2 linked regions of the Tamandua tetradactyla genome follow. The protein of the gene in region 1 interacts with the protein of each later gene in a biochemical or structural test. Links are inferred from orthologs where the notes say so. Each region holds a gene or a part of one and is shown on either strand. Other genes may lie near its edges. The genes, in order: SEMA4D and CD72.

Region 1 (14,895 bases):
CTTGAAAACAACACCAAGTGAAAGAAGCATTACAGAGGACGACATATTGAATGATTCCATTTATATGAGGTGTCCAGAATAAGCAAATCTAGAGAGATAGAAAGGACGCTGCTGGTTGTCTGGGGCTGGGGGTGCAGGTGTGAGTTTGGGGAGAAATGGCAAGTGGTTCGTAACAGTTATCAGATGCCTTTCAGCGGTAATGAAAATATTTACAGTTGATTGTGGTGATGGTTGTACAACTGGTGAATTTACTAAAACCCCCTGAATTTACACTTTAAATGGGTGAACTGTATGGCTTATGAATTATAGCTCAATGAAAGGAGTCAGGGTTGTAGATGGACTCCAGGCTCTCACTAATGACCAGGGCTTGTGGCATGCAAAATGCCAGGCTAATATAAAAAGTAAAATGCTCACAGCCCAGCTGGTGTGACCTGACAAGCCTCATGTTCTCTTCAAGAGGACACGGCCCCCCTTCAGTCTTGGTATCTGACCAGGCCCACTGTGTCCCTCTTGGGACCCCAGCACCCACCGCACCAGTGTACCTGCTTCACTTTCGCCTTCCTTGTATACTCTGCTCCACCGTGTTCCTCTTGGGACCCCAGCACCCACCGCACCAGTGTACCTGCTCCACTTTCGCCTTCCTTGTATACTCTGCTCCACCGTGTCCCTCCTGGGACCCCAGCACCCACCGCACCAGTGTACCTGCTTCACTTTCGCCTTCCTTGTATACTCTGCTCCACCGTGTCCCTCTTGGGACCCCAGCACCCACCGCACCAGTGTACCTGCTTCACTTTCGCCTTCCTTGTATACTCTGCTCCACCGTGTCCCTCTTGGGACCCCAGCACCCACCGTAACAGTGTACCTGCTCCACTTCTGTCTTCCTTGTACTCTGCTCAGCTGTTCTCTCAGCTGGGAGGGAAATCACTCTGCCCTGGAGCCTTGCAAACTCATCTTTCCAGGTTTGCCTTCCGCTCCATCCTCAGGTCACCGCTCCCAGGTCCCCACCTGCACCCCTACGTCTCAGCTGTCACAGGTCACCATAATAGTGATTATTACGCCTGAGCAGCAGGACTCTCATCTGTGGACTCCGAGATCAAGTAGAGTCACCAGCACATCGTACAAACTCAACAGAAGCTTCCGGAAGGACACTGGCATGAAGTGGAATCCCTTCCACTTGTCACAATATCCCACCCATTTCTTCTCACCAGTTTGGTATCTCTGGCAATTTTAAGCCTTCTCTTCCACTTCGTCCATTCTCCCCTCTCTGGTAGTTCCTCACCTCCAGGTACAAACCTTAAAAACAGACCTTCTCTCTACCCCAATGGGCCATTTACTCCATGTCTCAAAATTCTCAAAAAGGTTATCCACTCCTGCCATCCCAAATCCACCTCCTTCCCTTCTCTCTTAAATTCACTCTGTTAAGTTTGGCCTCACTGCTTTGGTCAAGGTCGATCCAATGCCAAACCAATGGTCAATTCTCACTCCTCCTTACGTGACCTCTCAGCCAACTGGTCCTTCCTCCTTGATGCGAGATCTGCATGGGGCCTCCAGGACAACCGCTGAGTCCCCTGGGTTTTCTCCTACTTCACTGGCCACATCTTCTTGGACTCCTGTCCCGTCTTTGTCCTTGGACCTCTTCTCATCTCCCTCTACTCCAACTCCCTTGCTGCTCTCCTACTGACAGTTTTAAAAATATCACCTCCATACAGACAACTCTCAAGTTTATATTCCCAACCCAGACCTCTCTTCCCAAACCCAGACTCATTTATCCAACCAACTCCTCACCATCTCTACTTGGGAGTCAACCCAGCTATCCATGTACTATTCTGAAAGCCATGCTCCAAAACTTCTCCATCCACAAACTGCCCCATTGCAAAGGGATAGTGACTCCATCCTTCCAGGTTGCCTAAACCACAAATCTTGGCATCATCCTGGGCTCCTCTATGGCTCTAACACTTGTCATCAAACCTGTAAGCAAGTCCTGTTTGCTCTATCTTCAGAATATCCTGGGATCTGACCACTCCTCCCCACTTGAACTGCTGCTCCTCCTCTCCACAGCCCACTCTGCTCCAGCTGCACCCGTCTCCTGGATCTCCTTGCCTGTGCCAGGCTGAAGTTCCCTCAGCCCGGGTGACCCCATGGTACACCCCACACCTCCTCCATGTCACTGGCTCAGGAAGGCCTGTCCTGATCACCTGGTCTCAAAGTTCAAAGCTGCTGGCTCCCTTAAGAGTCTGGACCCCATACTTTCTTTCTCCAGAGCACTATCACCTCCCAACTCATGGCATAAGCTTATGTATCCCATCCCCCATTGGCCTTCCATCAACTTCTACTTGATTTGAAGCTCCAAGTGGGAGTGCCATCGGTCTCCCAGTCCCGTGCACAGAGACAGTGCTCTCTGAACACTGGCGGTGGGAAGCGATGAACTTCTGTGGAGCTGCCCACTTACGAGTGGGGAGGGCCTTTACAGGTTACCAGATTCCTTCCAATCACGAACCCAAGATGGGGGGATAACCGGATACAAACTCACAGAGGGCAGAGAATGCCAAGAACTGGGACTGCCCCCAACAGCCAGCTTCTAGTGGGATGGGTTCCCCACATCTTCTTGGAGAAGGATCTAAAGGATGAATGGACCTGGTTCGAACGGCAAAGAGGACAACTAACATTTATGGGCAGGCTGTTCACCGACAACACGGCCATTAAATACTCTTCACGACCAACCGGCGACCCAATTGCAGAGTGAGGCCACCAGCTTCTCGGGCAGTAACATCAGGGCCCTGCTGTCCCCAGTCTGCAAATACTTTTTTTTTTTAATTTTTATTAATAAAACCAATCAACATACAATATGAACATTCTTTTTTTCATCACACAGTTGTATATTCATCATCATGATCATTTCTTAGAACATTTGCATCAATTCATAAAAAGAAAACAGAAAAAAAATTCATACATACCATGCCCCTTACTGCTCCCCTTCATTGATCACTAGCATTTCAATCTACTAAATTTATTTGTCCCCAGTCTGGGCCAGAAGCAAACACTAACAAATGACAACAAGAAACAAATGCCCAAACGCACAGTGAGAACAAATGGGACCAGTCGGGCCTTTGTACAGCACAGACTTAACGAGACTCAACTAACAAGCTCCAGCAGGGGCGTGCTCCTACATCCACACACAGCCCAAACATTTCACAAGTCAAGACAGCCAAGCAAAGGTACCCACATCTTGGATCAAAGCAAATTATGCTCGGGATATTAAAATACCTCTAATTTCTTGCAGAAGGACAAACAGGAAAATCAAAGCAAAGAAGAAAAAGTAGAATTCCAGGCAACTTTCACTTTCTAGTTTCCTGACTTCTGTGCTATCTGTATCACTGTTTTTTTGTTTTTTTTTTGGGGGGGGGGGGTATTTACTGTAGGCTCTACTAAATGAAAGGAGAAAAGTAACAAAGCAACCGCTGAAAATGAATGAAACTCCCAGTGCTAAGCTATCCAACTGGCAATGGGAATTGTGCCCAGAACAGACTCTGAGCCCATCTTTGCCTTTCATTTCTGTTTCCAAGTCTCAACGAGGGAACATCTTTCCCCACTCGAAATAAGGGCTGTGTCTGAGCTGAGAGGCACCCCCATTCCCCGCCCCACCCCCCCATCCCCCACAACATCAGGCACAGACTACCTCCCGTTAACCCTTCTGTGGCTGGCATATACTGTTATTTAAGCTTTCAGACTTTCCATCTTCCTGCTTGATGGGGGTGAGGGTGGTGGGTGTGCTGACTTCTGTCTCTTCCTGGCCCACAAAACACACATTCCGTGGGCCAGTTAACTAGTGATTCGCTGATTGTCTCATTTAAGCCAAACATCTGTTATTAAGTTGTGCAGGATATGAATTCCTACTATTCAAATTCTATCTTAAAGGCCCTAGGAGACAAAATCATCTCATGGAAATGCCCTTTGAAAATATTAGTTTTATCATTACCAAAAATAATTATAATTATTGCAAAATCAACCATGGAGAAGTAAATGGGGTGGGGGGGTTGTGAAAGTTGCTCCTCCCTGCCTTCCCCTCCCCTCCCCCACTCCTGCCCCCCCCACTCCTGCTCCCCTCCCCCAATGCACACTCACACACACATCCCCCTCCCACCTCTACTGCTAACTGCTGACTTGATTTTGCTCAGGGCTGGGTCCCTGGTTTCTCTCGCAGTACCTGGTATACAACAGGCATTTAATATTTAGCTGCTGCATAAATGCAACGTCCTGCCAAATCTTTTTTCCTACGTCCAAATAGGCTTTTGTGCAAACCTCCGAACCTTGATCCCTACGGTATCGAGGAGTGATGTTCCCACTTAATGTGTCTGTACATCTTTTAAAGCAAACCTCTGAGTTATTTCAGACCATGAAGCATCTTATGGTATGTTTCTTGGAAGGGAATTGTGTTTATTAGATTAGGTTATTGCAAAATCCTCTTTATGATGGAGAATTTTGAAAGTTCACAGAAGTGGTCCAAACAGAATAATCACCTCCCAGGTACCCACACCCAGACCCTCCAACACCCAGGAACGGACACTCACACCCAACCACACCCCCCCACCGCCCCACTCCGTGCTCATCTGAAGCAAATCCCAAACATCTCGTCAACTCCTCTGCAAATACTTCGATATCTATGAATAAAGGATGAGGATCATTATACTGTAGCTATGATATTAGTATTATGGAATCCCATAAGTTCTTAAAATCATCACTAATTTAACAAATTTCCAATGGTCTCAAAAATACCATACATTTTTAAAAGCAATGGTTCTTGGATCAAATGCTGCTCTGACTGTGAGCTCTCTTATCAAGCATTGCCCAAATTCTGCATCCCTAATGTACCATATAGAAGCAATTCTTGGGTGGGGGGGCGGGCTGGAGGAGGAGGAAGAGTTGGGGGGGGGATGAGGGCACGTGTGCAGTCGCTGCTTTCCCAGGCCGTATCTAGGAATCTAGACTGAAGAACGGGCAGGTCACACTGGCGGCTCGTGTGGGCAGCTGCATTGGGGAGGGGGCCATGGCCTCAGCCCTGCAGTCTGGCCCCCACAAGACCGGCCCCTCAGGCGGGGGTGGGCTGTTCCCTGGCCGTAAGCGCCTTGTGGTGCACTACCAGGTAAACTGAAATGCAGGAGAATCAGGCCAGGTGGGAAGTGAACCATCATCTTATCTCAAAGGCCACCTTAACTGAACTGCCTGTAGACTCCATCCCAGTTTCCAGGAGAGGCCCACTTGTGTACCAATCAGCAGCTACTTCCTTCTAATAAATCTCCACTTTCCCCCCACGGCCTGGGCACCTCACAGGTAGGGAGGCTGGCTACGGCTACGAGTTAGGCCCAGTCCCCAGGAAACCTCTCGCTGCCCAGCTCTTGGGGCATCTTGCATCTGAGGTGACACTCCAGACCCAGGATGCCCAGGAGAGACCAAGGACCTGCATGGGCAACACCACAGGAGCCAGACGGCACCAGACTCATGGCCAAGGTGGCAGGAGACTATGCCACTTCCACTCAGCTGCCTTCCTTCTGATCGTCTATCCTTCCTTCTGCAATCAAGAAGTAAAGAGAAGTGCCCTGGCCCCCAATTGGGAAGTGCAAAGTCTGCAGCAGCCTTTCTCCCAGACCGACGGCAAGTTCATTTTCAGCCACCCTGCAGCCACCTGTTCTCCTGGATGGCCTGAGGGCTGGGGACTTACAGCACGGGGCCTGAAGAAGAGGTCCACTTCGCTGTCCCACAGCTTCCCTCTTAAGAGTTCTTCTAATCCAGCAAATTCTTATTATGAGTTGCTATAAATTAAAAACAACAACTGGGGAGCAGTTTCACTTCGATAGCCAGCAAAGACAGCATGGCAGGTCTCACCTGGGCATACCCAGAGGTGAGGGGCACAGGCCCTAACTGACAATTGCGGAGCTGTGACCCAGGTCCCCCAAGGCAGGAGGAATCTCTGCAGCCACCCCACACCCACCGACTCTGCCCCCAGTATCAGAAAGCAACCCAGAGGGAGGGGCCAGAGGACTCAGCCTGTCCACCGCAGGAGCACAGCGGATGGAAAACCATTCATCTTTGCAATGCATTATCGATCTAGTCCGACGTGCTGGATCCAGCAAGCAGCCCTTCCCTCCTCACTTAAAAGTCAGCCATCAAGCACCGGGGTGGGGAAGACAGCTCGGAGCAGATCAGCCTCCCACAACCCACCAGACAGACAAGGATCAATCGACAAGGATCAGGAGATGATGTCACTAAAGGACAGCTCCCTTCTTCCAAAGGCACCAGACAGCAAGGGCGGGTGCTGCCAAGCCAGTAATTCACAGGCACGAGGGGAGGACCCCTTGGCACAGACCTGGACCACTACCCGGCCACTGGGGAGCACATCAGGGGGTTCCAAAGACTCCAGTTTTCAACAGGTTGTAGGTGCCACAGTCAGGAGCCTGGACTGGCTTAAGAGTTGGTAGATGGGGGAATTAAACAGCCCATTTTCAGAGGTCAGATGCCTCCAGTGCCAGCCTGGCATTCCTTCAGCACGGTGCAAGGGAGGGACCCCTGGACAGGGCTGCCTCCGGTAACTGTGGCTTCTTTACTCTTCTTGATCTGTCTGGCCTCTTGGAGATACAACAGATAATTCTGATTAGTCTGACCGTTTGGCCTTCGTGGAGGACAACCTTTGCCCAAGAAACATCTTGGGTACATCCTCCACCATCCCATCATTACTGACAACCGGGAAGGCATCTGTCTTTGAGTGATGACACGGGTGCTGGTGGGCTAGGAACAAGCCTGCCCTATTCTCCTCCATGGGCTGTTATCTGGGACATAATGTGGTCCAACCGTTAACAGGACAATCGGGGCTTTATCACCACTCTACCAGGAACCTGGCTCAGGCCATGTTTTTCTGTTAGACATTTCCAAACCACACAAGCATCCAGGACAGCCGGGCACTGCCCCCTCCCCTTCCCCCCACCCCCACCCCAGGCCTGGGGCAAGTATAAAACCACAGGGACATTTCACCCCCAGAGAAGGGACCTTCCTTTCCTCTTGCACCCAGTGGATTCACAGGGACTCAAAACAGAGGGAGGGACACTAGGCCACAGGCCCTAAATCCCGGCCCAGCTGGCGTGGGTGCCCCACCTACCCACGGGCCTGAAATCTGCTCTGTAGAAAGTGGAGGATTTTCAATCGCAAGAGCCAAGCAACTTAAGCCGGCCAGAGCTTCAGGAAGCAGGGACCCACAGCCTCCCACCACCACCCTGTGGCAACAGGCTTTTCAATGAACTGCCCACCTCCCGAATCCCATCGCCCCACCCACCTCGCCCCCAAACATTAAAGAAAATAAATAAAAAGGAAACCCACGAGCTCAAATATCCTTTACATGTTTTTACTGGCAAAACCCCAGTAAATTCAGCTCCCCGCAGCTAAGCAGGCTGCAGCAACAGGTGCAGCCCGGAGCCCAGACCGGGGATTCGCCTCTGCTTTTCTAAAATAATACCCGCCGAAACCCGGAGAAAACCGAGCCCCGCTGGGGGTGCGGCCACGCCAGCGACACCTAAGGCGGCTGTGGCCCGCGACCTGCCCCCACCTGTCTGAGTGCGCCACTGCGGGCCCCGCGTCACCCGGGCCTCGGCCTCCTCCGACCCCGACCGGAGCGGGCAGGGTTCCCCACCGCGGCGGCACCGGGCTGCCCGAGGGCGCGGCGGCACCCAGGGGGCCGGGGCCTGGCCGCCCGGGCGCGCCGGCTGCTCCCGGGGGCCGGCTCTCGAGCGCGCCACCCCCCGGGGGCCACCTGCGCGCGCCAGGGCGGGGGGCGGGGACCGGGGAGAGGGGCCCCGACGCGCGCCCCCCGCGCACCTGCCCCGACCAAGCCCCCGCCAAGCCCGCCCGGCCTGGCGCTTACCTGCGAGCGGCGCCCCCGCGGCCGGGCGGCTCCTGGCGGCGGCGGAATCGGTGCTCGCGCCCCGGCCGCGGCCAGCTCCCGCGCCAGGAATGGCGGCGACGGCGGCGGCGACGGCCCGGGACGCCCGGCTCGGGAGAGTCGGGGCGGCGGCGGCGGCGGCGGCGGCGGCGGGGGATGCTGCGGCGCGGGGAAGGAGGGCGCCGGGGCCGGCGCGGGGACGGAGGGCGCGGAGGAGGGCGCGCGGCAGGCTCCTCCCCACCCCCGCCCCTTTCCTCCCTCGCCTCCCCCCTCCCCTTCCCCCTCCTCCTCCTCCCCTCCTCCTCCTCCCCTCGCCTTCCCCTTCTCTCCTCCTCCTCCTCCCGCTCTCTCTCCTTTCCCCTCCTCTTTCTTCCTCCCCCTTCCCGCTCCCTCTCCCTGGCCCTCTCCGCTTCGCTCCACACCTTGTCCCCGCCCGCCAGCTCCTACCTCTTCCCCTTCCCCTCCCCGTCCTTCCCCTGGCCGGGCTCTGGCGGTCTCTGTTGGATCCAGCCTGGGTTCCCACGCACCGCTTCTCATCCCCACCTCTCAACGGACCAGGTTACCCCTTTAGGGGCCCCGACCTGGCCCCACCCTTCCCAGGACCCCGACTCTCCACCTTTTTCTCCACTCCCAAGACCTGGTGCCAGTTCTCCTGGTGACCTGACCTGCCCGGAGGGGCAAAGCCTGTGGACAACCAGAATACCTTTCCTCCTTGGCTTCTAAGTACAGCTGAATGGGGCTAGAGGACCGGGCCGCCGGCCCCCGCCCCATTTTCCTTGAGTGAGGCATCCGACGGCCTCCGGTCTTGGCTTTTCTGCAGCCCGTCTAGGCCTCCATGCCAACTGTCTGCTAAATGTGCTACTCGGCCATTGTTTTCCACACTAGCCAGCAAAGGGTTTCCAGGGTGGTCCTGGACTAGACATGGCTGTGATCACCCCACGGGTTGGAGCCATGGGGGTCCCTGAGAAGATGAAGTGCCTCCAGGCCACCTCCCTCCTGGCTAAGAAGCAGCTGGCTGGGCTGGTGGGCCCTCTAAGGAACTCAGCCCTGGGAGAGGGCACAGTTCCCAATTCAAGCACCCAAGATTTCCTCCAAGTGGGAAGAATCAGACTGGCAGTAGCTCCCAGTACTGCAGGACGCCTGCAGATGACCCCGGGGCTCCTTTCCCAAGAACCACAGCCCACTGAAGCCAGAACTTCAGAGGATTTTAAAAAATGAAGCAATTTCAAAATGACCAGTTAAGTGTCCAAGAGACATGGAACTCTCCTTGGGAGCCTCCTGCCTGCATGAGGGGCCCAGCAGGGGCCCAGTGGAAGCTAAGATGGCGAAGCCAGTGCCCCAGGGTGCAAGGCGGGGATGAGGTCATGACTCTAGACTCCCTCCCTCCAGCCAAAGAGTTTGGATCTGGAATCTGGAAATGGCTCTGCCACCTCCAAGGTGACCTCGGGCCTCAGCCTCCCAACCGTCCCCAGCATGCTGACAGAGAGGGCCCCTCCTCTAGGGTTACCCAAGCAGCACAGCAAAGCACTCTCCGCCTGATCAGCGTCAGTGCCCAGGACTGCTAAAGGAAAAACATGGAGGAGATGTCCCTTTCCAAACTCTCCTCCAGTTGTAGAAGTCCATGGATTTATGTTTCCCATCTCATTTAAATTAAAATTGAACAGGAGCAGAGTAGGGTAGGGTCCCAAGAATGAACTTAGATTCAATAAATGCAGGTATTCCAGAGATAACTGGCATGGCTTCCTTCATCCTTCACTAATCAGAAGCATCTAGAACACAGAGCCCTCTCTAGGTGTCTAAGGATAGCAGACAGCATGCCTTGGAAGTGCAGTTGGGACGCTGGGAGCCTTCAACCTGGAAAACCCGTGTATGGAGCACAAGACAGAGGAATTCAAATATTTGCAAAACTGTCCAGGAAAAAAAAAAAGGATTGCTCTCTGGGGTTATGAAGGTCAGAATGAGGACAGATGCGTGGAAATTAGATTAGAAAGCACAGGAGCCGGCCCCTGGTTACTAGGGGGGCCACTGCAGGGAAACCACCAGAAGGATTCTGCAGCAAGGAGGAGGCTCGTCTCCATGGCTGCTGAAGCCTCTGCCAGCTTTTATAGCCATGCTTTCTTTAATATGGTATAAAACAATCTGCTGCATGTCCCACGGCTCTTCCAGTGGCCTTTGCAGAGAGGGAGGGTAGCTCTGAGCAAAGAAGAGAGGTCAGTGTGACTGACCTGGCTGTGATCATTGCTAAATCTCTCTAAGCCTGTTTCCTGACTGGTGCAAGGGGGACGAGAAGAAATTAAATGAGAAAGCACACTTCCTACCACCCCCAGCCCATGGAAGGGAGACAGAAATGTGGGCTCCTTTCCCGGTTCCCTTCTTTCAAGCATGTCAGGCGTGATCACCCAGCTCACACATGATTACCCAGTTTGTCTTTGTGTTTATTGTTGTTTTACATTTTATGATATTACGGAACACTTTAAACAAATGCACACAAATAGAAAGATGAACTGCCATGCTTGGGGTCGGGAGGGGTTGCCAATCTTGTTTCATCTCTGACCCACTTGCTTTGCCCCTCCCCAGTATTAATCAGAAGCACATCAAAGACCGCCTATCAACCTACTTGTCTTCAAGTTTTCCCAGAAATGCTGAGTGTTTGGCTGCTGAGGTCATATTCTGCATTTCCCACTCAATAGTTACATCATATGGACATGGATGAACACACACACTGAGGAAGATGATATTTAAATCCCAGATGAAAAAGAAACTCAGGTTTCGCAGTTTAGGTGGCACAGATAGCATTCTGCTCTAACATAAGAGACTCCCGATTTCCCTACTTCGGGACCTGGCTATGCAATGGAGCTTATGCATGAAGGTGGCGGCTGGGAGCAGTTTGAAGCTTGTCCCGGTGGGGAATCCTTAAGCCGTGGAGGAAATGTTCTTAATAAGGGCTCAAGGTGTTGTACTTCACCTGTGACAGAAGCTTCAGTCCCCGAGACCAGCTCACAGGCCCCGGGAGCAGGGTTTCACACAGTGAGCTGGCAACGGGAATTGAGTAGCTACCCCTGGAGAAATGTCCCCCCATTCCCACTCCCCCCCCCCCAAAAAAAAGGCTGAGGTCATGTCTGGGGAGACTATGGCCACTTCTGGGCCTGCCAGCGTCCTCCAAGAGAAGTCTGGGAAAGTGCCTTTTAATGTGACCACAAAGTAGTTCTCAGATGTGGAGGAATGCCTCTCCGGTTATTTGCCTGCTGATGGCCTTACACACACCCTGTCACCCCCCTACCCTGTCACCATCCTTCTCTCCCCACCCCCCACCCCCCAATGCCTGTAAACGCCTTAAGGAGCCTGGCCGGCCCCTCTAAATTAAAGAGTCCTCACTGGCCTCCCTGCACCCCCTCGTTATCTGAGCTGCCTCTTCACCTGGAAAAGGAAGCTGCCAAGGATTCTGAGGCTTCTGGGCTCTCCAGTGCCCCAGGACCCTTCCCTGTCATTGCTGCCTCAGGACCCCCCACAGGACTTGGAGGGCTTTTTACTGTAAAGCCGCCTTTGGAAATTTAAGATTGCACGGGCAGCAGGATCTCAACGAGGGCCTGGCTGAGACGATGGCATTGTTCTTTGCGCCCCGTGCAGTATTTTAGCTATCAAACTGCTAAGAACCTACTGAATCTGCTTGAGGGGTATAATCTAAGCCTCATGCACACTCCCATCTCAGCACTTTCCATGTCTCCAAGAGCGCCGCTCGGTTCATCAAGCCACCCCCTGTGACACTGACGGACTGTAAATATTCCAGACAAGGGGCCGGTGAAGGAAGCTGCCACCACCCCACTTCAAATCCGGGGAGAGTCTAAATCAACCACGGATGGAACATGAGTGCTCATTTGCTACCCCTACCCTATTGTTAGCATAACTAGAGCCAGCATGCCCTATACCGACCTATACCCGGCAATGCCTTCCTGGTTCCCTACCGACTGATGCCACCAGGTGCCAGAGCCGTGGGACATTCCTGTATCTCCTTGCCTGTTGGTGAAAGCCCACTCACGCTTTCAGGCTGGGCCCAGCAAGTATCACTTTCTCTTGGAGGTGTCCCCTGCTTCCGACCGCTACCCACACACCCCAGGCAGAGCTGAGTGTTGCCTGGCGACTTTGGTGTCATATAAACATCTCTCAATAATAACGCACCAGGTCAAACTATAATTGTTCCTTTATATTTTTCTCTTCACTGGTCTCCATTTTAGGTCTTCATGAGCCTGGTGACGTCTGTAAACCATTTTCCAGAAAGAAGCTTTTGCACACATACAATGAAATGCATAATTAAAAAAGGAAACCGATTTTATTGAAATCTGTCTATCATAATATTTTTAAATCTCTGACACATTTGCTTCACTATTTACACAGTAAATATTACGATCCAGCAGCAGGTCTAATAACTAGCAATTTTAAAGTAGTCATAAGCATACACGTTACTTTTAGATCTGCAACAACCAAAATGTAATGTGAAAATGTTTGCAGTTTCTACTGGGACAAAGGATACACATATTGCTAATATGATGGTACTTTGTTGCCTTCACGGATTCTTGAAAGAAATCCTTAACTTCTAAGGAAATTTACTGGAAAAATGTATTTTCCCCCATCCATTCCATCTGGATGGATTCTCCGAAGTCTACGCAGATTAAGAACTCCTGTTTTAAGGGAGAGGGAATTTGAATTCCCAGCATTCAAGTTGCAAGTGGCAGAAATTTAGGTCAAACTCTTGGCTCACATATGCCTGAGGGTGGTCCAGCTTCAGGTACAGCTGGATCCTGGAGCCCAAACATGGTTCCTCCTTCCTTCTTTCTGATGCTATGTCCTTCTCTCTCTCTGTTTGGCTCTGTTTCTCTCTGGGTGTTGGACTCAGTCTCTCCCACTACAAGATCATGGGCAGCCTCAATCTAAAATGATGACAATGACTATTTCTTTCCATATTGCAAGTCTCATGGAAGGACTTTGATTGGGTCTCATGCCCATTCACTCTGGACAGGCATGGGAACCTCCACTGGGCAGACCTGGTCACATGCCAATGCCTGCAGGAGGGTGAGATCAGTAATCTCTGCCCAGAACCACAGAACTGGGTGAGGAGCACTCTCCTAATGGGCACTTGGATGCTGAACCAACAAGAACAACATGTCCAGAAGTGTTAGAGCCAGAGGGCTAACGAGTGATCACAGACTATTAATTAGGGGACAGGTTTGCTACTGTAATAAATAAATCCAAAATGCAATCATTTAAGCAAGATCGAAGTTTATTCATCTCTCAAATAACATTGCCCGAGGTAGACAAATGGATCAGAACTAGGAGGTGGCTTTGCATCCTCCATTTGGGGGTTATCATGCATTCTGCAGGACAGGGAATGAAACCAGGAAGAACAGTCTCCTTGGATTTAAAAGCAAGGGCAGGAAGTAGCACTGACACTTCTGTCATGTGCCATTGGCCAGAACTTACCATGTAGACACAAGTGAGGCTTGGAAATGCAGTTGTTAGATGAGTGACTATGTATCCAGCTAAACATCTAATATATTAAGAAAGGGCAAAATAGATATTGATGAGCAATTAGCAGACTGCCAGATACACTCAGTGTAATTAGCGTTTTAATAAATGTAAGTGGGAAACTCCTCCCCTACTAAAATGTTTAAAATAGAAACCACCAAGTGTTGATTGGGCTGTAGAGCAACTGGAACTCTCATACATTGCTAGTGCGAGTGTTAAATGGCACCATAGCTTTGAAAAACGATTTAGCAGCACTACTAAAGTTAAACGTACATCTACCCTATGACCCAGCAATTCCTTTCCTGGGCATATACCCAATAAAAATAAGTGCTTATGTTCATCAAGTGATATATCCAAGAATGTTCCTAGCAGCTTTATATGTGATAGCCCCAATTTAGAAACAGTGCGAGTTTCCATGAACAGTAGAAAGGCAGATAATCAGTGGTGTAGTCATGGAGATGAGGAAACAGGCTCAGGTCAGCCAAGTTTATTATTCACCGATTGTGTAAGTTCCTAGATAAGAGTTGGACCCTGGCTTGCAGTTTTCTTGGCAGTTGCCTTTCTGCACATTTTAGTGTTTTGTTTTTTTTACAACTCCCAGTGTAGCACTGACAGGCCAGGATCAATACTTATGTGCAGATAAGTCAGAAGGTTTTATACAAACGCAAGCAATAATGCTGACCATGCATTGAGTGTGTTGTCAGTCCTGGGAACTGCTAACCTGCTCGTTTTTGGTCCTTCCACATGCCGGCGCCTCAGATGAGCTGAGGGGTTCTCATACCTTCTGTGCCACCAGTTCACTTTTTGGCAGGGTCTGGACCTTGGGACCTGATGAGGAGAGGACCCAGGGATCCCAACTCCCCTTTGTATATTGAGGGACTTGGAGCATGTAAAAGAGCATTGGGTTCCTCAAAGAGAAAAAACGGAGGCCTCAGTGCTGTCATGATGAACCCTTGATTTTCTCTTCTCTCTGTCTGAATCACTCATCAGTGGATTTTACTCACGTAAATCTTCTGGGGATGAGGCAACCTTGCTCTCATTTCATCATTGAGCTTCACTTATTTTCAGTTTGAGTGAGTGTCTGCAGCATTTGCCTTTACTTTTCATTCACAGTCCTTTCTATTCCATACTGAAAGGCTGAATGCCTCTGTGTGATTCTCCCACACAACAGAAGAAATCAAAGGCTTTCTATGAAAACTCCACAGCCCACCAACGATAGTAGCTACCTGCTTATCACTATATGGAAAAAATATATCATGGCTCAGCCTCACTGAAAAATTCTATTCTGAGAACTCTGAAATTGTGAGTAGCGATGGGAAGTATTTTCAAATCAGGCCAGTGGATGCACATCATCAGGCAGTCAACCCTGCCCCTTCCCACCCCTGCTAATGGACTGTCCACAAGTTCTCGGAAGCCTCAGAGGACAGGATGTGGCCCCTGCACAGCCGGCA
Region 2 (15,246 bases), about 50 Mb from region 1:
TGCTTTGATGAGGTTCAGCTGAGCTGGGGGCCTATTTTTAGTAGTCAGAATTTGTGAATTAATTCTACAATTGGTGTTTGGTTGTGCTCAGCCTCTGCTGCTGGTAAAGTCCCTTTCCTTCCTCTCTGGGGGGCTCACAGCTGGTCCAGCTGGTCCAGACTGGGGTATGCTGTGTGTCAGGTCACTGATGTGACCCCAGGGGCTGTTCTGTACTGTTTCTGGTTGTTTAGTAGTTGTTCTGGAAGACGAACTAAATCACACAGTTTGCTAAGCCGCCATCTTGGCCGCTGCCCTTCCAACTTCTGTTTACTTATTTTTAATCCATATGTTTACTCATCTGTTGATAAGATAGGTAAAAGGAGCATCAGACAGATGGTTTTCACAATTACACAGTCACATTGTGAAAGCTATATCATTATACAATCATCTTCAAAAAGCATGGCTACTGGAACACAGCTCTATATTTTCAGGCAGTTCCCTCCAGCCTCTCCACTACATCTTGACTAACAAGGTGTTATCTACTTAATGCGTAAGAATAACTTCCAGGATAACCTCTCGACTCTGTTTGGAATCTCTCAGCCATTGACACTTAATTTTGTCTCATTTTGCTCTTTCCCTGTTTGTTTTCCCCCATTTGGTCTAAAAGGTTTTCTCAATCCCTAGATGCTGAGTCTCAGCTCATTCTAGGATTTCTGTCTCACGTTGCCAGGAAGGTCCACACCCCTGGGAGTCATGTCCCACATAGACAGGTGGAGGGTGGTGAGTTGCTTGTCATGTTGGCTAGAGAGAGAGGCCCCATCTGAGGAACAAAAAAGGTTCTCTTGGGAGTGACTCTTAGGCCTAAATTTAAGTAGGCTTAACCTATCCTTTGTGCGGTTAAGTTTCATATGAACAAACCCAAGATTGGGGGCTCAGCCTATTACTTTGGTTGTCCACACTGCTTGTGAGGATATCAAGAATTCTCCACTTGGGAAGTTGAATTTTCTCCCTTTCTCACCATTACCCCAAGGGGACTTTGCAAATACCTTTTTATTCACTCTTCAAATCCTTCTGGGGTCTATCGAGGTATCACTCTGGACAAACCTACAAAATCTCATGTCCCACTCAAGGTTCCATGCACTTATATGTTCAAATAAGCTGTCCACACAAGCTATATAAGGAAATGCACTTGTCAAAATACAGATTTTGTACCAAATAAACATTTTTTTTGCTTTAGTCTCACACGTAAGTTAAAGTTTTAAAATATTTATTACCATCTACTTTCAGCACCCTGCAGTGTTGACATTCCTTTGTTCTTCCTCATGCAAAAACATTTTTTAATTTGCACATCAAAATAAAAATATAAAAAAAAATCAGGGGGGACCTCTGAGAGCTAATACAGAACATGCTCCCTCAGAGTTACCCCATCTGAAGGGGAGGGTGCTGGCACACTTATACACCAGCTCCCTCTAGTCACTCAGAGCTGCTCTTGGGGGCACTGATTCTCCAGGACCCCTGGCCTGCCACGTGTAGGGGAAGAGCTCAGCTTCCAAGGGCAAACCTCCAGGCTATAGAGACATGGCGCAGGCAGTTGGCAGCTGGGCTGATGGGCACCGCAGTACAAAGCCTGAGGGGTCCCAACTGTGGCACTGACAGCGCCCGCACAATCCATTCATTGCTCCAACCCCCTCCTGCTGCTCATTATGTTCACGCTGCCCTATCACTGCTTCTTCAAGGCAGTGACCCATCACAATTGCTTAAAAAAGAAGGAGGAAGAGGAAGAATAAAAATTTGCAAAAGGAAGGCTAGTGGGACAAGCTACACTCCCTGCTGCTGTCTGTGGTCGATTCTAAGGTGCTACTGGTTGACAGTCATCGTTTCCCTCTTCCACTGTCCAGTGTAGACTTCCCTCAACCCACTTCCAAGGCCTCTGAGGCCTGATGGTGGTGCCCTTTTCAGGCCGTGGTGGACACAGTTGCCCATTCACGGATGTATGTCTGAGCATAGAGCAAAGGAGGTGCCCATGAATCCGCTGGTGGGCAGCTGCAGTCCTCCCACCCCCACACTGCAGCAGCGACTCTGTCTTCCCAGGTTCAATGAACCCTGCCAGGAGAATCACTCCCTATTGACTGAGAGACAAGCAGCCAGGCACACTTGCAAAGGTAGAGAGGACTGGACTCGCTAGGCAGAAAGAGGCTCCTTCTGTGCCTCCCTTTCAGTTTCAGCTCCATTGCTGAGTGATCGTTTCCACCTTTTCCCATTTAAATTCCTGAGTGTGAAACTTCTGTAAGCTCACATTAGCCCTGATTTCCAGGCCAGGCCATGCCCTAGACCACAGGCTAGTCTACAGACCGGCCAGCCTTGGGTCCCTTTTCCCCACTTGGTTATTTCAATCAGCTGAGGTCTGAGAGTTTGGGGCAACATAATGCAAATCCTGGGGTATAGGATGGCGTCATCTGCAGGGGTTCACCCCCTTCAAAGAGGCTGTAATTGTGGCTGGTACAGTGTCTGACATTTTTGGTAAAGGAGCTGTAGTTTTTCCACACGCTTTCTTAGTCTATGCGTTTAGTTCATAATAAGTTTATAGTCCACTGAACCTAGCTTCCTAATTTGTAAATTAAGTGGGTTGGGCTCTAAAATGTCCCCCACCCTCAAATTTTTTCTACATAAACTATTGTTAGGACAGGACTCCCTCCATCCTATGCTTAGGTACTTTTCTTTTAACCCCTAATTTCATTTTTCAATAAATGCTAGCCATTGTCATTTATTAAATTATTACACTTCATTCTTCTTAAATTTCATTCTGTGGTCTGGAGTCATCTTTTTGCCCTGCTGCAGACATTCGAATCTTGAGTTTGCCTTTCAGATATTTGCTCTTCTTTTTAGCTTTGTGCCATCAGTAAATACAAATGTGTTTTCCATGTCATCATTCAAGACGGGACCAAGGAGAGCCCGGAGGCAAGTCACTGGAGACCTAGCAGCACTCTCTGACTTCAGGAATTCAAAAAGTTGCAGGGGCCCCTCTTTCTCTCCCTCCTGAATCTGAAGCTATGGTTACGGACATTTAGAGATGCCTTTGCCACAGTCTAGACCTATTATGTTTCCGGCAATCACACCATCGACCGATATCAGACATTACCTGAATGATTGCATATTTTAAAGATGAAAACCTTGGAAATTGTGACTTGTCTTAAGTCACATACCGTGATAAGGCTGGTTTCTTTACTCCCAGTATTGTGTTCTTTCCATTACATCATGTTTCCTCCACAGTTCAGGGAACTTGTCAAAACATTGTATATTAGTTTTCTATTGCTGCTATAGAAAATTACTGCAAACTTAGTGGCTTAACCAAGAAGAATTTACTCCCTTACAGCGTGTGTAGGTCAGAAGCCCAACGTGGATCTCACTGAACTACAATCAAGGTGTCTGCAGGGTTACATTCTTTTCTGGAGGGTTTAGGGGAAAATTTGCTTCCTTGCCTTTTCCAGCTTCTAGAAGCCGACTGCGTTCCTTGGTTCAGGGCCCCTTCTTCCATTCTCAAAGGGAGCAGCGGGTTAGTTGAGGCCTTCTCGTGTTGCATCTCTCTGACCTTCTTCCATCATCGAGTCTCTCTCTTCCCACAGCCAGGAAAGATTCTCCCCTTTCAAGAACTAATGTATCAGATGGGCCTAAAACAGGATGAGCTCCGCATCTCACGGCCCTTAACATAACCACACCTGCGTTCTGCCATGTAGGTAACATGTTTACCAGGGATTTCAGTATGCACATCTTTGGGAGGCCATTATTCTGCCTACTACACCCTGTCAGTAGGTCAGGGGGTAAAGTAGTGAAGATTTTCAGAGATTAAGGAGACTTCCCTGACTTCCTGATGTTGGCTGGACTTCACCAAAGTTTATGTAGATGAACCCTTACCCATGTTGCAAATTCTTTCCTGATGCCCTCCTCTTGTGTACCTTAACAACCCATTCCTTTTTTTTTATCATCACAATCAACTTTTATTTCTCTTTTTTGTGAAAAATAACATATATATATAAAAGCAGTCAGTTTCAAACCACAGAACTACAATTCGTTGTAGAAAAGATTTCAGAGTTTGGTGTGGGTTACAATTCCACAATTTTAGGTTTTTACTTCTAGCTGCTCTAAGATACTGGAGACTAAAAGAAATATCAGTTTAATGTTTCAGCAATCATATTCGTTTCTAAACCCTACCTTCTCTGTATAACTCTTCCATCACCTTTGATCTTTCTATCCCACTCTTTAGGGGTATTTGGGTTATAGCCATTCTAATTTTTTTCATTTTGGAAGGGGCTGTCAATAATATGGGATAGAGAGATGGAATTAGCTGATGTTTTAGAGAGGTTGGGCCCTTTAGGTTTCAATATTTATCTGGTCAGAGGCCCATTTGGAGGTTGTAGGTTTCTGGAAAGTTACCCTAGTGCCTGGAACACTTGTGGAATCTTATATATTGCCCTAGGTGTTCTTTAGGATTGGCTGGAATGGTTTTGGTTGGAGTTTGGCAAGTTATAATAGGTAGCAATGTCTAAACTCATGCTTCTTTTGCAAGAAAGAGAAATAATCTCTGAGGTTTAGGCCATTATTATTTTGGCTTTCTGTCACATGCAACCAATCCTAACTGTAACAACGCATTCCTTGTAACAAGCAGTGAAGAGTCCAGGAAAGGGCAAGAAGCGGCTTTGGTGTTTGTATCCTAGGGTCTCAGATGATATTATGGTCCTGGGAAAGCTAAGGTATGCAGCACTGAACTTCAACTCTTAACCACCCCCAGGGGTTCCTGATATTTGGACAGTAGGAAATTACAGGTGTCCTTTCTGATGACCAGCCTGGAAGGTCACGTGAATGTCAATATTGCAAAGATCCCACACGGCACATAGGCGGAAGGTGACGAACTCTGCTTTCACATATACCCTATTCACAAAGCAGGCTATAAAGTGACCTAAGACAGAAGGGAATGCCAAACATCATGAATAGACAGGTAATCATCACCTAAAGGACTAAAAAGAAGAGAAAGATAGGCTGAGCCTGATCGAGACATCCAAGGCAAGCTCCTTCTTCTGGGGCTGGGTGTGTAATTAAGCTCACCCAGTTTCATCCGAGTACCCACTTCTTAAACCTGTTGAAGAGTCAAGGCAGGCCGCATGCCCACTGGCTCCTTTAATCAGTGCATACTGGGAACTCTGTTTTGGCATTTTATCTGGCATCCAGATTATGGTCACCTGTGCATCTGTTTTGAAAACGGGGACATTCATTATGTTTAGGGGATTCCTGCAAGTGTTCTTTCAACGGATTCACACACAAGCTGCCTGCCCCTGCCCCCACCTCCATAACCCACAGACACAAGAAGACTGTCCCCACCTGTCCCTGCTGCAGCTGCTCTATGCACTCCCACTCACTCTCATGTGTCCCTGAGGTCCCCAGGGAGTCACCAGCACACAGCCTCTGTTATCTGGGGGCGGCTCTGATGGGGAGAGGGTGCGGGGTGGAAGTGGGGGGGTTGCTGGAAATCTTAATCAAGCAGGGACCGTTAACAGCTGCACTGACACCTTAGGAAACAGTGAGCCTTAAAAAGGAAATACTTGTAGAACCTGTGGCCATGACCTTTTAAGACTTTTCTTAAAATGGCTGTCATTCCCTGCCCCAGAAGAAAAGAACATCTCTCAAAAGCACCCCTCGGGCCCCAGAATTCTGCAGGTTTAACCCTCCAGATAGGCTGTGACGCAGCTGCTCACCTAGCACAGGCACTCCTACCAGACCGCAAAGAGCTGGCACTGCGCGGGGCACACTTGCGCACACAGGCACACCCCTGCCTCTCCTTCAGACACATTTCTCAGGCGACAAATGTGTGCTTCTGTCCCCATGGGCACTTTCCCCAGGGCGGGGCGGGGCTGCTGGGCAGCTCTCCGGACAGACCCACAGGACCCCTTGCAGCGCCAAGCCACACACCACCACTCATACAGTATGAGCTGTTAGCGTGCCATTAGGACCTCTTCCCCCTTCCTTTTTCTCCCCACAGCTGCAGAAGGGGTTTTTGAGGGGGCAGATGTCATCCGCTGGGGTGGGTATTTTTTCCCCACCTCCACACCGCCGTCTTGTCCCAGAGTTCTTTCCAACCCCCAGAAGGAGGCCCTGTTGGGGTTCCCTGGAATGGGGCACGCTCTCTTAATAATGTTAGGGAGCACCTCGGCACCACTGCTTGACACCCCTTCTCCCCTCCCTGGCTTTCCCTCTCTCCTCCATCAGCTGGGCCCTCAGCACCTATGAGGCCTCTTAGCCACCGCATCCTCTCCACGGTGTGAGGAGGCAACGCTGGATTTTTTTTTTTCCGGCAAGTACTTTACTAGGAAAATAAGGAGGAAACTAAAACCAAACCAAGAAAATATCCTTGCTTAGTCCAGAGTCTGCATGCCCAGCATCCCGCCCTGCTTCCTTTCTTTGCCTCACCTTTAAGAAACTGCAGGAAACTTTTTTCCTTGCTCTCCCACGAGGGTGTACGAGAAGAAGGCAATGCGACCACAAGCTTTTCCAGAGGGACACGAGCAGTACTGCTGCAGGTGCTGAGGTCCCTGTGGTTGTTTTTTTCATCCTCACCCCCAGCCCAGGCCCACTCCTGAGCCTCTGCCTCCCAGGCTCTGCCTGTTGGGTACTGCACGAGTTCAGATGTAGGGACACAGAGGATGACACAAGGCTGCAGGGGCAGGCTGGGAAAAGGATGAGGCTGACCAACCACAGTAGGGCAGCAAAGACCTGATGGGGGACTGGGGACGCCGTCAGAAGAGAAGCATTTGGTCCCTGGTGTTCTGTATCTGGGACGGGCTGCCACATTCCCGGGGAAGGCTTTTCCGTGACAGCAGCCCTGTGTATGTGTGTGATCTGGGAGGTTCTACAGGGCTACAGCAGGGAGGGAGCCCCCAGAGTCCCCAAGTTGATGAGGGAATCCACCACACAAAGGAGTCTCTTTCTGGGAAGAGATGCACTGGTGGGAAAAAGACAAGGTTCCCCCCCTCCCCCCACACCCCAGGCAATGACTGGGGATATTCTCTGGGATTATTTGGGCACAAGAGACTATAAATCATAGGTCCCAGCAGGCAGTGCAGCCAGGAGGGGAGGCTGGGGTAGATCAGGGCAGACAATCAGAAGGAGAGCTATTTGGAGCTCAGCATCACCAAAGTGGGTCTAGGATGCACGAAGAGGGAACACAGGCAGGATGCAGGGACAGATGACAGGGGGCCTGGGACAGGCCCATCCTCTGCTCCATGCTCTGGGCCCAGTTTCCCCTCCCCAGCCCCTCTGGCCCCGGCCCAGACATACCATTGCTTCACTGAACCCATCTGTCTGAGGCTTGCTCACACCTTCCTCTTTTGTGACTGGAAGGCATTGGGTAAAGTGCCAAGCTGAGCAGCCACAGCAGAAACACATAGCCTACAAGTGTGAAGGGACAGAGAGGAGAGTGGCAAAGGAGGCTTGGGGACAAAGGACAAGGCAGGGAGTGGAAGCATTCAGGACCATGGCTGAAGCCATCACCTATGCAGACCTGCGGTTTGTGAAGGCTCCCCTGCAGAAGAACGTCTCCAGCCGGTTAGGACAGGGTAAGGGTGGACGAGGCATCTCCTTGATTCTGTCTGTATCCCCATCCTCGTTTATGACCCCGTCCCCACCCCACAGACTCCACCCCCCTGAGCCCGGCCTGTCTCCTTTCCAGACCCAGGAGCTGATGAAGATGGGGAAATCACCTATGAGAATGTACAAGTGCCCTCAGCCCCAGTGGGGCCTCCGAGCTTGGAGCCCTACGGACTAGGGGACAAAGCAGGTATGGGGAGCCCAGGGGATGTGTGCTTGTGGGGGACTGTGTCTTGGGCTGGGAATTCCCACAGGATTCTTGGGAAGGTGATACCCTTCCGGGAAAGGGAAGGAAGTCTTAGGAAAGATGAGAATAAGAACTGGATAAGGCAGTTCTGGATAAGAACCAGGCAGAGAATAAAGATCCAAGGGGCTAGGAGGGAGACCCCAGTGGGGAGATGAGGGATGTGGGGAGTGATGGCGTGGCCCTGCTGTGAGTCACAGTAGAGAGATGAAAGGGAACCGGAGCGGGAGGAGAGCAACCTCAGAGAGAGGGTGGTGGTGTGGAGATACGGGGATCCCTGAGGGAAAGATCAAGGGACACGCAGTAGGGAGATGAGGGGGACCCCGGGGAAAACACAGTTGAGCCCCAATCGAGAGATGAGAGTCCCCAGGGAGATGAGAGTCCCCAGGGAGATGAAGAACTCCTGAGGGTGACAGAGGTGTCCCAGAAGATTCATAGAGTGCAACACAGGACACACTGCGGTCTCAGCGTAATGGTGGTAGTGAGGGGAGAAGAGGAACGGAAGAAAGGTCCCTCTCTGGTGTTTCGCATCTACAAATTGCAGCTGGTCTCCTTCAGCAGGGGTTAAATCAGAGCAGCCAACTAAGGCTTGGAGCTCGATGACGTCACCTGTTGCCGGGCGGAATCTCCCGGGTGAGTATCACGCCCTCCCCACCCCGCGCGCCCGTGACCTGCTGCTGGCCTCGCGCGCGAGTACTTGGGGGTGAGGCCGCCGAAGGCCCGATCGCTGCGGGAACATTTCCCCACTTCGCAGACTCTGAGTCCCAGGGAAAGAGTCGGGGGGTGGGGGTGGGGGGGGGAAGGCGCTGATGCCTGTTCTGTCCGGGCTGGGAAAGTGCTGGGCCCCATAGTGTGCAGGTATGACCTCGGGAGCGAGCCCAGGGAGCAACCCTTAGCACCACCCCTGTAACATGGTGACCCTGTTCCCTTGTCCCCTTACGCCCATCCTCATGTCTATCATTTAGACATGTGGATCCAGGCTGGACACCGTCCCCTACCCCCACCCCCAGCAGACGATGGCCCCAAAACCCGCTAGTCTGAGGCTTCGTGCCTCCTCCTACCAGATAATGCCCCTCAATTCTCTTTATCAGCAACAATCCCCAGCTCTTATTCTGAGGGATTCCTGGGGCAGGGGGGAAGGGTTCCCAATCCCTCCCCTGCCTGTGAAATATTCCCACAGGCGCACAAAAACCACCACACTCCTCCCTCATCAACCCTGCACCCCTCCTGTTAGGGATACTCTTTCTTCATGAATGCCCCCCACCTGCCAGCCCTTCACTGTGTAACTTCCTGGGACTGACTGCCCTCCTTCCACTGTCTTCCTAAGGCTGTGCAGCCGGCATGCAATACTTCCTTCTGGGCCTGCTCCTCACCTGCCTGCTCTTAGGGGTGGCCTCCATCTGCCTGGGAGTGCGCTGTGAGTACTGGCTGCTCTTTCATCCCCCATCCCTCCACCCCCATTGCCCACTCACTTCCAAACAACTTATTCCCTAAACTCCCCAACAGCCACCCTTCCTCAGCAGGGCCCATAGTCGTTACCATCACGTCCGTCCTTGTCCTCCTTAGCCTTTGGTCTGGTTTCTAGCCAGGTCTGGCTTAGAGCACTTGTGTCTGCCTAAAGGATCCTTACCTAATCCAGTACCTCCTTAAACTTTAGGCAGTCAAATCTTATATTTCAGCCTGTTGTGCAATAAGTTACAAGAAGTTAAAAAAAAAAAAAAAGAGTGGATGCTGAAGTCTCAGGATACTGGGGCGCAGCTGGAAATGCCCTCCAAATTACTCTCTGTGGCCAACAGATCTGCAAGTATCTCAGCAGCTTCAGCAGGTCAACAGGGTTCTGGAAGGCACTAACAGCAGCCTGCGGAAGCAGCTCTACCTAAAGATAACTGAGCTGGGGCAGAGGAAACAGGATCTACAGGAGTTCCAGAAGAAGCTGGCCCAGAGTCAGGAAGCATTACAGGCAGAACAAGGGAGTCACCAGGCTGCAGAAGGGCAGTTACAGGTCTGCCAGTCCAACAGGGAGAAGACAGAGGAGATTTTGCGACGTGAGGAGGGGCAAAGGAACAACTTGGAGCAGAGGCTAAGCAGCACACATGACATTCTGAAACCCTACTTCAGATGTCCCTCACCAGGTATCTGCTCTGGAGAGAGGAGAGATGGGAAGGGTCTGCTGGGAGGGATGTATTGAAGCAAGGGGACACTAGTCCTATCTATCACAGGGCGTTGAGTTGATCAGGAAGTGGGGAGTGAACCAGAGTAGTGGCTGACATGAGCTGTGCAGCTTTAGCCAACAGGGAGAAGGATGAAGCTACATGGTGCCTCTAGGAAGACCACATGGAGGGAGAAGGAGGGTGGCAGCCAGCAATCCATATCACACTGTCCAAAGCAGCATGGTAAACTCATCTGGCTTTACATGTCAAGGATCTGTGAACTCCCTGAATTTGGATGTGAAATTGGTTGTTTACACATTTTTCCAAAGAAAGGGTCCATAGCTTTAATGAGGTTCTCCAAAATCTGAGACCCCTTCTCTCCAAAAGGTTAAGAATTACTGACAGATGAAGTGCAGCTGGTGGTAGTGCAAGGCAGCTGAAGTTCTCACGCACGGGTGGCATGCACAGTGAGGTGGGTGGCAAGTACTGTGGCCCATTTTGAAAGCATCCATTTTGAAAGCAGGAGTCCAGCCTGTATGTGGGAATGGGGTAGAGAGATACTTACAGGGGAGAGTGTGCCAAAGCAGGCTGACATTCTAGGCAGGATGCCAGACCTAAAGGGACGGGAATGTTTATGAACTGGTTATCTATGGTTGGGGTTAGGCTTGATCTTGCTTGTGGTGAAGCACCAGTAAGATTATATGCAGACACCCCCAGCCCTGAGTTCTTAACTTCCTTATCTTGTATGACCCCCGACTTCCATACCAGTGCTGACACCCTTTCTACAGCTGCACCCCAGTCCTTACCACCTGAAACTGCTCTCACTGAAAGGACACTTTTAGACTTCCACACTGATCACAACTGCCCACGTTTCCAGGCTTTCTCTACATTTCTTTGACCTCACTGGGGCCTCCAACTTGCTGACTCCCCTGTGTCCTCCCTCTCCGCCAGCTCCCTCCTGCTTTCACTTCCCCTGTCCGTCTTGGATTACTGGGACCCATCACTTCAACCACTCTTTGGTTCCATTGTCTTTTTGGTGCATCTGACTGGCAAAATCTCAACCCTGGATGAACCCGACTGCTTACCTTGCTCATGCCCTCACCAGGTGTTGACAAGTTGTGAAATCGTTCTGCTTGGTGCCACCAAAACGCTACTCCCCAACCTCATCTGGGGTCTCAGCACTGCCTGGCCTCCCTTGCGGTGGTCAGTTTGCTCACTCTAATGACTTATTATCCTACTACTTCCCCCCCCCCCTTTCCCCCTTATGCCTCAGTCTCCATCAGAGAGGAGAGGAGTTCCCTCCATTTTCCACCATCAAATCTATATATACATTTGCATTTTTACCCCTCCCCATCTCTTGCATGGATGACTGCAACAGCTTTCTGAATGTTTTCTCTAAATACCTCCCTCCCTTCCCATCCATTCTTCATATTGCAGCCAAGATCATCTTTTAAAAAGAAAAACCTGATCATATTATCTCAGTTAAGAACATGTCATCCCGGTTCATTAATCACATAAGCAGTTATGGACTCTATATGACATGTCAAGCCCCGTGCGCAGGCACTTGGGATATAGCTACTGAACAAAACTCCTCTATGTGAAATCTTACATTGACTTTCTTCTCATAATATAAAAATAAAGAAAATCCTTACCAAGACTTCCCAAATCCCTCCCAGCATACCACTTATTCCCTTACCCTCTTTGATCTAGCCACACCTAACTTCTTTTTGAAGTTGCGGTAGGACAGAAGCTCAAGGGGATAACTTGGTGGGGGAATTGAGAAAACGTAGACAGAGGAGAGGGAGCTGGTGGAGAGGGAATGGTTTGAGTGGTGGCGATAGATAGGACCGATGGCCTGAAGCGTTGTGGGGGTGGAGGGGATCAGGCTCACAGGTCAAAGTGAGGCTGTGCTTAAAATGAAAGAAGGTGTGTTTTTTTATGGCCTGTCCGGAGAAGAACAGAGAAGAGAACATTTTTGAGATGGAGAGAAGGGAAATGGAAAGAGATCATATTATGTATCTGACAATTTCTGCAAAAACAGGAACCAAGGTCGTCTGCTTGTGAAAGAGTGGAAAGGGAAGGAGGTGGTTAGTGGATTGAGGAGCCAGGGAAGGCTTTGAATAAGCAGTGGGAAATGCTTTAGGGTGCTAATGAGATGAATGAGAGGCTACGGAGCAATAAGAGGGAGTCCAGGATAGTAACACCAGCCCTGTTAAAAGAAATCTCCCAGATTGTTAAGGAGTAATGTTGAATGTTAAAGCCTTTTACGAAGTATACACAGGTGTGGCATTTCCAGGAGAGGCAGAAGAAAGATTGAAAATTTCAAAGACTAGGAATCAGTGAAGGTGCTGAAATTAGACTTAGAGGAATACTGTTAGCAACCAGATTGCTGTATAGTCATTTTCAACCCCAAACAGCATTGAGATCGCCCTCTTGGGACTGAGTCTGGACCGTGTTGTCACACTCTTTATGTTTTTTAGAAACTTGCTGTCCCATGGGATGGATACTGAACAAGAAAAGCTGCTTTTACCTGACAACTACCCGGAGAAATTGGGAGGAGAGCCAAAATCATTGTAAATCTCTGTCCTCTGACCTGGCCCAATTCAAAGATGGGTCTCATTATTATACAGTAAGAATACCCTTACCTGAAGACTGTAATGGGTGCTGTTAGGGAAACGTTTTCCCTCACTTAGCCAGGAATGGCAGTGCACACATGGCATGCCTGCCAAGGCTTCCTATTCCTTTTCCATGACAGATATTGATGGCCACAATCCTCTATCCCTGAAAGTGGCCTCTACTAACTGATGAGAGGTGGCATGAGAGTTGAAGCATGAATCATCCCTACTTTAGCCTGTTTCTCATCCCAGCTTTCTGGGGTTTTCTACTCTCTGGTCTCTTAGGCAGAAAGTTCCTATACCTGGGGGGCTGAATCAGGAGAATTAGTTCCCTGTGGCCAAAACAGCCTCATAAGGCTCCTTCCCAAAAGCTGGCAGAAATTCTTCCCCAGCTGGAAGGTGAACTAAAGACTGAGACTGCATTTGCAGGGTGTCACTCAAAGCCCCTGACAAGCAGATATCCTACACTGATGATGGGCACAGCCGTGTTGTTGAAGCCATAGGTCTCCCTAGGGTGCTCTTTTCTCCCTTACTTCTCAGCACTTCCCACACACCTCTGCTCTGACTCTTCCCTCAGAGTTCTTACTACAGCTCCTTAAGTCTGGTGATTTCACGTGAAGATGTAAGTGATTCATACTGGGTTGGCCTCAAGCTGAAAGACATCTGGGGGTGGACCGATGATCCATCATACTTTAGGTAAGTTTGTTAGGAAGGGCATTTTCAACTCCATATCCTGTCATAAGGACATAGTAATGTCTGAGGCCCCAGGCCCAAAAATCTTTCACAAATCAACATTGTAATTACCTATTTGCCTGTTTCTACTATTTGATTATTAACTCGAGGGAATTTTTGTTCCCTATTCTATCCTCAATACCTAGCAGTCCTTGGCCTATACTTTTCTTTTTTTTAAATAATTACTAGATTGGGACCCATGTCTTCTTTTTCTGAGAGAAACTAAGGATTGAGCTTCACTTTAGATCAGGTCTTCACAACTGATGAAGAACCCTGGTGCCCTAATTTAACTTCCCTAGCCTTGACAGACACAAACTGAGGTATTTTCTCAGTCGGGACCACTTGGGGCATTACAACTGCTCCAGGGAAGCAAGAAAGGGAGCAGTGGGGGCACTTCCAGAGGATCAACCCTAGGGACCCTGAAAAGGGGTCACCTCCTATGTACTCTAACTGGAATTTTCAGCTTTAAGACCTTGAGTGATATTTCCCTCTCCTGCTCCTTAAGCCTCTTCTGGTTGCAGTCCAGCCATCTGTGCCTGAACCAGCCCAGACGTGGCAGGTGTCTAGGCATTTGGGACTTAAGATTGGGGTTAGGTTATATGGAGGGCAAGGGCACAGAAGGGAGGATGTGATAGGAGGGGTCTGGAGCTTATCCAGTTCTATTTCACCACTGGTCAGGACGGACAAGCAACACTCAAGATGTGCTAAGGCAGAAAAGGAAGGGTGGCCAAGAGTAAAGCCAGAGAGATGTGTATCTCTTCTTCCCTGCATCTGTGAGATGGCAGCTTTCAGGTATCCAGATGAGGACTACTCATTGCACTGAGCTGCGTAAGTCTGAGAGATGGGGACACAGCTTGGGGAGTCTGCAGGGAGAGGGACTCAGAGCAGGGGCCAGTGGTCAGAGGGAGAACTTGGTCCTGGGAATGACAGTCACTTCATGGCCTCTAAGAGCTTGGCCTGCTTGTGTGGGGCAGTGCTGGGAAGTGAGAGGGACAGGTAAGACCTGGAACTGAAGGGAGGGTAAGCTGGATAAGTATTCTCCATGACAGTCACCTGCAGAGCTCACTGATGCTTTACTTTCCCAGATACGCATGCCAACAAGAGCCTGTGCCTTTCTCCCCTAACCCGTGGCCTGCAGATCTGAAGATCATCTCCCTCCAGCATTCCCTCACTCTGCCCAGGCAGTGACCAGGCAAAGGCTGACCCATGCTCAGCACTTCTAGCCAGCCTGCTGCCTGCTCAGAAGCCTAGCCCAGAAACTGGATTGTTCCTGAGAGGCAAAAAAACCTCTAAGAGGGACTTTGGCTTCCTGAAGAAACTCCCACAGTGGAATGGAGAGGGGCGGGGAGGAGGGCGCACGGGCTGAGTGGATAGGGGCAGCCCGGAGCCAGCCAGGCAGTTTTATTGAAATACTTTTAAATAATTTGCATGTGTTAGTCTTGTGTGTCAGCAATGCCGTGTCTGGTTCTGCCCCCCTGGACAGAGCCCAGGGGTTGGAAAGGAAGTGCTCTGTCCCTTGAGTCCATGCGGAGGCTCCCCTATACGGAGAGAAAGGTCAGTCAGCCCATTTGGGGCTGGTACTGTCCAGCATTCACGCTCTGTCCTCACAGGGTGTCCTGAAGGCCAAAGTTGGAGGCCCGAGACCACAGGCCCCACTGCTAAGAACGTGCCCCAGGCAGCTGCAGGCTGGGTGTGGGTGGCTTGGCGTGGTGCCCTCGGTGGCAGAGGAGGCTGCCTGCCTCACAGTTCAGGTTGCGGTAGCGGGCAACAGCTGGCGTGGGGCGGGGGCACATGGATAGGAAGCCAAAGCTGAAGGGGCCGAGGCAGCAGCCAGGACAGGGCAGCCCCTCATCAGGCTCTCGGGAAGCTGAAGGGGGTGGTGAGGGCTCTG

What was found.
Region 2: the proteins of SEMA4D (region 1) and CD72 form a complex in vitro, tested with the Homo sapiens proteins (2 studies listed by BioGRID and IntAct). The link is inferred for Tamandua tetradactyla from reciprocal best matches to the Homo sapiens genes SEMA4D and CD72.

Annotation. Positions count from the first base shown.
Region 1 is NC_135328.1:10,163,592-10,178,486, reverse strand, and holds the start of SEMA4D (semaphorin-4D), read right to left. Parts: upstream 7,985-14,895; 5' UTR 7,907-7,984; intron 1-7,906. UniProt on the Homo sapiens protein: Cell surface receptor for PLXNB1 and PLXNB2 that plays an important role in cell-cell signaling. Regulates GABAergic synapse development. Promotes the development of inhibitory synapses in a PLXNB1-dependent manner.
Region 2 is NC_135328.1:60,156,318-60,171,563, forward strand, and holds CD72 (B-cell differentiation antigen CD72), read left to right. Parts: upstream 1-7,346; 5' UTR 7,347-7,501; coding exon 7,502-7,583; intron 7,584-7,696; coding exon 7,697-7,804; intron 7,805-8,416; coding exon 8,417-8,491; intron 8,492-9,185; coding exon 9,186-9,275; intron 9,276-9,654; coding exon 9,655-9,990; intron 9,991-12,488; coding exon 12,489-12,637; intron 12,638-13,200; coding exon 13,201-13,319; intron 13,320-14,033; coding exon 14,034-14,178; 3' UTR 14,179-14,183; intron 14,184-14,440; 3' UTR 14,441-14,780; downstream 14,781-15,246. Other genes in the region: TESK1 (dual specificity testis-specific protein kinase 1), read right to left, coding at 15,014-15,246. UniProt on the Homo sapiens protein: Co-receptor of B cell receptor (BCR) that plays both positive and negative roles on B-cell functions. Recognizes the Sm/ribonucleoprotein (RNP) self-antigen ligand, and coligation of CD72 and BCR inhibits BCR signaling.